2 linked regions of the Drosophila melanogaster genome follow. The protein of the gene in region 1 purifies or fractionates together with the protein of each later gene. This does not show direct contact. Each region holds a gene or a part of one and is shown on either strand. Other genes may lie near its edges.

What was found. Proteins that work in one complex are often made in the same cells at the same time.
Region 2: the proteins of CG6769 (region 1) and Irbp18 purify together in Drosophila melanogaster (affinity purification with mass spectrometry, with the first as the bait; one large-scale study listed by BioGRID). This does not show direct contact.

What each region holds. Positions count from the first base shown.
Region 1 is NC_004354.4:17,859,341-17,863,766, forward strand, and holds CG6769 (uncharacterized protein), read left to right. Parts: upstream 1-1,661; 5' UTR 1,662-1,823; coding exon 1,824-2,339; intron 2,340-2,497; coding exon 2,498-2,860; intron 2,861-2,933; coding exon 2,934-3,284; 3' UTR 3,285-3,435; downstream 3,436-4,426. Other genes in the region: Arp8 (Actin-related protein 8), read right to left, coding at 1-662, 728-1,313, 1,382-1,386; mnb (minibrain), read right to left, coding at 4,280-4,426.
Region 2 is NT_037436.4:11,096,700-11,100,192, reverse strand, and holds Irbp18 (inverted repeat binding protein 18 kDa), read left to right. Parts: upstream 1-2,006; 5' UTR 2,007-2,051; coding exon of another isoform or gene 2,052-2,082; coding exon 2,083-2,193; intron 2,194-2,320; coding exon 2,321-2,551; 3' UTR 2,552-2,747; downstream 2,748-3,493. Other genes in the region: APP-BP1 (beta-Amyloid precursor protein binding protein 1), read right to left, coding at 1-54, 117-450, 517-1,162, 1,219-1,383, 1,441-1,508; CG33947 (uncharacterized protein), read right to left, coding at 2,052-2,101, 3,132-3,180.

The sequences.
Region 1 (4,426 bases):
CAGTCCTCGCAGTCGTATTGGTCCTGCACCGCCTGCTGTGTGAAAACCGCTTTCGTTCGGCCCGTGATGTTCAACAGCTCCGTGTGGAAGAGGGCCAGTGGCGCCATTAGGGCCTCATCGCCCACCTGTATGGTGTAGCGCAGCCACTGGCCGTTATGTTTGCGCAGGTTGAAGTGCTTCTCCTGGGCGCCACAAACGCTGGCGTTCAGGTGGCAAAACTTTTCCTTCAGCTCGTCCAGCAGATGGGCATCCACATAGCTCTCCTGCACATTGCACTCGCGATAGGGAAAGCCGCACTTTCGCAGCAGCAGGAGTAGCACCTGATCCAGGTCGCCGCCGCCATAGGACAGCCGCACCCTGGCATCCAGCTGCGAAATTCCGTCCTCGATGCAGGCTATGGAGGTCTTTTGGGCGCCAATGTCCACCACACAGCCGTACCCAATGCCGGCGCCAAAGGTGGAGGCGACGCTGTCCTGGACGAGGAAGCAGCGCCGAAAGCCCAAACGCCTCAGCAGCAGGGTCACGAACTCGCGCAGATGCCGCCGCACATAGACATCGTTGACCACCAAGACGGCGCAGTGGGTGCCCAGTTTACGCAGCGGGATCTTCAGACGCTCTTCCAGGGCGTACGACCAGATTCGTTCCAAGTGCTGCATGCTGGCCTGAAAAAAAAAAAACAGCTTCATCAGTTTAGTTTGGAAACTACGAGGAACAACGCAGCACACACTTGTAGCGAGCCGCCCTTCTCGTTGTGCACATTCAGCTCGCCCCTTTGAATGGGAAAATGGATGTCGTAGTTGCGGGCATCCACAGCACCGAGTCGCAGGATACGGTCGTCGAACAGCACGGGTGCCTCGCGATCCAGCCAGGGCTCGTCCGCCATCTGGCCACTGGGCGCCGGCACCTTCTCCGCCTGACTGCTCCGGTTGAAGTGGGCCAGTTGCTGCGGCGGAGTGGCCACCCGCAACCGGTTTTTGTTATCGACGACGCAGTGCTGCAGAATGCGCGACACCACCAGGCGCTGCTCCTCGAACTCCACCATCAGGCCGGAGTTTGAGTTGACGTTGTCCAGCGGCGGCAGCAGCGGATCATGATGCGGCCTATCGCTGGCCCCCGGACGCCTCCTGTAGGCCACCGCGTGCAGCAGGGTCAGCGGATTAAGGTCGGCCGCCCTGCCGATCCTCAAGTGCTGCGATCCAGGATGGATGACGATAATCTTTGGCGCCTCCAGTGGCTGCGCCTGCGGCTGGGGCAGCCCAATTGGCGGCGGCGCCGGATGCCGGCCACTGCTGGTGCTGCTGGCTCGGGATCGTCTGGACGAAGGGAGAGTAGCCAAGTTGCAAAATTAGTTGCTTCACATACCACTTACTTATTCACTTACTGCATCGTTTGCTTTCCGAAATCCGGATCCTTTGAAAATGCGGAAATCGGAGGCAACAACAAATGGCAACAAAGCCAATGTGACCGTGGTGCGCAAATGAGAACATTTATAAAACAGGAACACAGGAAAAACAGAAAGTTAAAGTAATAAAAAAATAGGGCTGATTTACAAAACTCATTTTTCATTAATTACTATTAATTCATTGTTGAAATTCAAAGCACTCATATATATAACATATAACAAATTCTTTGTTTAGTATATTGTGTGTGGATGGTGCCGACGTGAGTGCCGTCTGGTCACACTGTCAAGAACGTGGTTTTGTTTTTTAATCATCACCATTAAATTGAGCAGCCTTACTTTCCATTGTGAAATACGCCATTCCAGAGTGCCAACGAAAACGAGAGTGCCAGTCAAGCGATCATCGAATCCACTCAGCGCCACAATGTCGCACTTCACCTGCCTGAACTGCGATGCCCGCTTCGCCAGCGCGGATGTGCAGCGGAATCACTACAAGACCGACTGGCATCGCTACAATCTGAAGCGCAGGGTGGCCCAGCTGCCGCCCGTTACGGCCGAGGAGTTCCAGCAGCGCGTTCTTAGCGCCCGCAGCGCCACGGACGCGGCACTCGAGGAGCAGAACCTAAGTGTCTACTGCCACGCCTGCAGACGCCAATTCGCCAGCCAGAAGGCGCACGACAACCACCTGAACAGCCGCAAGCACAAGGAGCTGCTGGCCCGCTTCGAGCGCGAGCAGATGACAGCTAGCGGCGGCAGCGCCAGCACCGCCACATCCGTGTGCACGCGCAGCGTCGTGGAGCAGCGGCCCCATCCGGCCCTGGCCGCCGCAGCCGCTGGCAAGGGTCGACTGGCCTTCGCGGAGCGGGTGGTCAAGGCCAATAACGACGAGGAGATGGTCGACGAGGACGACGATGATTTCGAGGACATTGAAGAGGAGGAGGTAGGAAGCGCTATGCAGATAGAGCTCGCATTAGACTTTTCCTTGCTCATAGAAGGGTTACCTTGAGAATGATTTCCTTGGAGATTCTATGCCTGGTTAAGATATGCACCTTTACAACGTATACAGCTTCTTATAAAGAACAACTTGATTTTTTGCAGGTGGATTCCGATGAGTGGGACAAGATACCCGAGAATCCGCTGACCGAGCGCGACTGCCTGTTCTGCACACATGCCAGCGAGGATCTGGTGGAGAACCTAAAGCACATGTCCGTGGCGCACTCGTTCTTCATTCCGGACACCGAGTACTGCACGGACATCGAGGGCCTTCTGTACTACCTGGGCGAGAAGGTGGCCAACTACTTCATCTGCCTGTTCTGCAACGATCGCGGCAAGACCTTCTATTCCCTGGACGCCGTGCGCAAACACATGATCGACAAGGGCCACTGCCAGATGCTGCACGAGGGTGTGGCGCTGGCCGAGTATGCCGAATACTACGACTACAGCAGCAGTTATCCGGACAATGTGAGTATCACATAGCACAAGCAAACCTCCATTTATGCTGACTGAATCTTGGAAAACCTTTTAACCCGCACAGAATGAGGGCATGGACATTGACGAAGAGGTGGTGCCGGATCTGCTCGATGGCGATGAGTATCAGCTGGTGCTGCCCTCAGGCGCGGTCATTGGTCATCGCTCCCTGCTTCGCTACTACAAGCAGCGTCTTCGTCCGGAACGCGCCGTCGTCATCAAGAAGTCCGACCGCAAACTGCACCGCGTGCTCAGCGAGTACCGGGCTCTGGGCTGGACGCAAACGCAGCAGCTGTCCGCCGCCCGCAAGGCACGCGACATTCATCTGATGAAGCGCGTCCAGTCCAAGTGGCAGATGAAGCTCGGCTGCAAGGCCAATAAGCTGCAGAAGCACTATCGTGCACAGGTTCTGATCTAATCATCGCTTGCTTTTCTTTCCAAATGCTATTGGCCTCCCCCCTACTTGTACAATAAAAAGTTTTTGAGTTTTGCTTAAATTAAGCATATTTGTTTGCTTTCTATATTACTAGCGATTTCTCGTCGAATAAAATTACATAATTTAAATTAACAATTAAATAAAGTTTAATTTTGATTCGTTTATATAAAGTAAAAGTATGTCGTTACGGTTACTGCATAAAGTTAAACATTATAATTAGACCAAAAAAAAAAATAGGTTCTAGCGTGTAAAAAAATAAACTCTGCCGAATCCATCAAGGCGCCCACACGGCATCCCCTCCCCGATCCCGGGCGACTGGGGGCGTGGCCGGTGCTGTGGGCGCGGCGGTGAGAGCTCGAAGTGACTAATCAGTAAGAACCGCAGGTGAGTGAGTTTTCGTGTGTTTCGTGGGACCTGAGGGTCAATTTCAGCTAGTTAATGTTAATGTATTTTTATTTTGGACATGTGTCTGTGTTGCAGTGATCTTCATCGGGCGTCTTGTCTTACAATGAACCAAGAATCTCAGCTTCTTTTCAGGAAAAGCTGAAAGTGTGACTATTACCACTCAAACAAAACAAAATGATCTTCGCTATTTATCCAATTGAAGTCACGTTGTCACAATCGCTAATTAAAAGAATTTTCATTTAAAATTGTCTACATAGAACAGAAATTTTCTTCACTTAAGATCTTACAAAAGCGCAGATGAAAATATTAACAATTATTCGTCAAAATTAGTAGTATATGTACATCGAAGTACATCGTACATGGTATGTAAAATTGGAAAAACGTGTGGACAAGACCCCCGATTACCGACCAACTATGGTGCTGCTGCGTTGGTGAATTTGTGGTTCCTTGGTTTGTGGGCGGGTGGAGGCGTTGGTTGGCGGTGCAATAAATAGCAGCAGAGAGCGGCAAAGGGCGTGAAAAGTAGTGTTTTAAGCGAGCATCCAACGTTCTTTGCTTGCTTCCAGTTTATGCTAATGTATAACTACAGGATTCTGTTGAACACAAACGCCCACCATGGGTGACGACGAGGAGGCATCGCTGCTGCTGGCTCCGGTGGCCGAGCCGCTGCTGCCACTGCCGACACTTTGAGAGATGCCCACCTGCGCGGCGGGTCCGGT
Region 2 (3,493 bases), on another chromosome or scaffold:
CGCGCAGCGCAAAGTTGTATGCCGTGAGGTTGCCCTGCAGCTCGTTGTCCTCAACTGGAAGGCAAGGAAAGGTAAGTCATTTAAGGTTGTTCCAAAATAGATAGATAGATCTTTACCCAGTGGTAGCAGGCGACTGCTCTTCTCGTACTCCTCTGCAATGCGTGTACCCCTTATGACCGCCAGTCCGGCTGCTTCTTTGCAAATGAGACGCACACTTCTCTCATCAATGCTGTCGGCAGGCAAAGCCAACTGCTTAAGGTACTCCTGGCACTTGTGATACACCTGGTCGGCGTCTTGCAGCGCCTGTTGGCGGTAGATGTGCTGCAGGGCGATATAGGAGTCCGTATTGGCAGTCATGTCCGGCAGAACGCCAGGCAGAGGGAGATGGCCCTCATTCTCATGTATCACAAAGTGCTTTAGGGCCTTGGCCATGATCCAAAAGACGTTGCTCTGTAAAAAAAAAAGAAAAACAAATGAAAGTAAAGTATACGTATAAATTCAGATTATATGGGCAACCTTCTTGTTTAACTGTTCGCAGGCATCATCTTCGAATATGGCTTTCAGGCTTTTGGGAACCTGTCCCGCTCCAAAGGCTGTATTGACCGCCTTGATGGCCTCTTCATAGTTTTCCTCATCCGCCTTCATCTCCTCTCTAATGGTCTCCTTCAACTGATTCTTCTCTTTGTAATTTCGAGGCGTTTGAGTCCCATCCGCTTGTTGTTTTTGCCACACATTAAGGTATTTGTGAAGAACCAGCAACCAGGGCACCTTACTGGTCACCTCGGTGCCGTCGAGATGCTCCCGCAAAGCATCGAATGGATGCTCCAGACGCAGATCAAACTGTCGATTATCCGGATGCGCCTCCACGATGCAGTGTTCCCGTATTTGCAAGCGTATTGTGCCCAGCATGCCAAGCGATCGGCAGTAGATTAATGGAACGTTAAGCTCCCATAACCGTTCGGCCAGGAGAAGCAAAGTCTGCTCATTGAGATTGGAGGCAATCACTAAATCGAAGCTGTCGAAGAAGTTCGGTCTGTTGGCTAATAAAAAGTCGGCACTCTCGTCGACATAATCGCCATTTACGTCGGGATTGAGTTCCTGGAGAAGTTGCATGCAAGCCAATGCTTTAGATTTGCCCAGATAGCTGGAATCGAGGAAGAAACTACGGAAAAAGTGACTTTATAATGGTGGTCAGGGAATGTGTGATGGTCTACCGACTTGTTGCCCAGATCCTCCTCCTTGACGGTGCTGCCATCGGCCACAGTGAAGCCTCCGATACCGGGTAGCACCAGTCCCTTGGCAGTTTCACAGCCGACGGCCGTAACATTCACCAAACATACTGTGGCTGCCTCCAATAGCGTCTGTCCATGCTCTCCCCACAGCCTAAATAGGTGTCATCAGTGCTATGCTTCCGAATTTATCAATTAAAACGCTCCTCACCTGATTTGTCTGTCGTATTTCTTGCTTTTATCCGAAAGCTCTGGCGATTTGGGGGCTGGCGAGGACATTTCACTAGATTTTTGTGCAATAATAAGCCGGTTGCAAATAATCCAGTACTGTAAAGCGCCGGCAGCCAATACTTCTGACACAATTTGTTTATTGGGTGGAGTGTTGGAAAAAACACGTTGGTAATTTTAACTGTTGCTTATTTAAAACATTTATTGACTATTACGTATTACATTTCATTTAATTTTATTGCATTAAACTACATCTACGTACAAGCAATCAGTCTTTACAAATAAAATGTATAAACAGTTGAGAAATTAAAAAGTGAAAGTCTGAGCAAACCAAATAAAGTGTCTGGTTGACAGTTTTTGAATAGCATTCCATGGCTATGGTTTTGGGTGAGTTTTAATATTGATTTTCAACATGCAATTAATTTAATTAAATAATACCGCTAACTGTTTGTTGGCTGGGCAGTGTAGGCAGCGCATTTTGCAACACTGGGAGGGCTAATGAACAGCTGTTTTATCGTGTAATTTCACAACAAAACAACGCATACATCGCTGTGTTTTCTTCTGCATTTCCGTCCGATTGCGATCCAATTTGAACTAAATAAATATCAGTATTATCACGGAGATAATGCCGGCCAAAAAGAGAACTGCCGCGTCGACCAGCAAAAATAGCGATTCGCCATTAAGTCCGCACACAGACGATCCAGCGTACAAAGAAAAAAGAAAGAAAAACAATGAGGTAAGTTTAAGAGTTTTGGATGTAAACAGAGAGCAAAGATTGGGAAACATGTTGCTGTGGCGCCGTGGCCCCCAGAAGTCCCCAAAAATAGATGCCCACTATTGATTTATTACTATTCTCGGAACAGGCTGTTCAGCGCACACGCGAAAAGACCAAGAAATCGGCCGAGGAACGTAAGAAACGCATCGATGATTTGAGGAAGCAAAACGATGCTCTTAAGGTTCAGATCGAGACGAGTGAAAAACATATATCTACGCTTAGAGATCTGATCATTCAGGGTGAGAAAACGGAGGACGGCCATCGAATCATCCAGGAGATTCTCGCTGAACCAGATCCCGATCCCAAGGACAATGACTAACGAGGAGCTTCTCCTGATTTACCTTCTTATATTTTCATACTTTTAAGCCATTTCCCATGGTTGTTAACCATGTGTATCATCTTAGTTTTTCGATTAAAATGGTGCAATTGCTCGAATTCTATTACAAAGACAAGCACTCATGCAGACGAGAACAGTGTTTGTTAAAATCCTACATAAATGGTTTTCATTATTGGTGAGTTTTTATCATTTCTCACCAAATACTTGTTTTTGTTGTACTTTTCTTTTACTTTTGTTTATATTGTAACACTTAATCACTGTATCCATGTTGCACTGAATCTAAATTTTAAAATTATCTATATTTAGTAATAGTGATTTCTATTATTTTCGACATGATTCATACAGCTAAAATCATGCGAGTCTTGAATCAAATAAAGTGTCTATTATGATTTTACCCATATCAGTGTTATTTTATACCCAATACTTCAGCTGTTTACAACTACTACTACTATTATTATTTCCTTGAAAGTTGATGAACTCATTAATCAGAAATACAACCCAGATTCCATCATATACATATGTTCTACGTTTAAGTAGAACTTCCGGCAAATTAGATACTAACCGTCGTAAACGTCCAATTTCTCCATGTGTAGGCTAAAGACCTCGTCCATTTTCCGAGATATGAACATATGAACTAAAACTATAGCTATTGAGAAAGTGTCGTTGTGCCGATAGGTTTTTGGTTTCGGGTGTCCCGTTAGGTCTTGCTCTCTTTGCTTTTGTTGTGGGCGCTCCTTCCGTCTTCTTCTTTCAAACACTCACAAAAACATTGATTTACTGCACTTTTCGCACATTCATTTGATGCACAACTCGACGGCGATTTGATTTGGCGGGTGGTTGGTTTCGTGTCGAAATGGAAGTTGGATTGTGGGGCTTTTTTCGCGTTCAATAAATTGCCGTCTTCCGCTAATTAGCACCACCCGC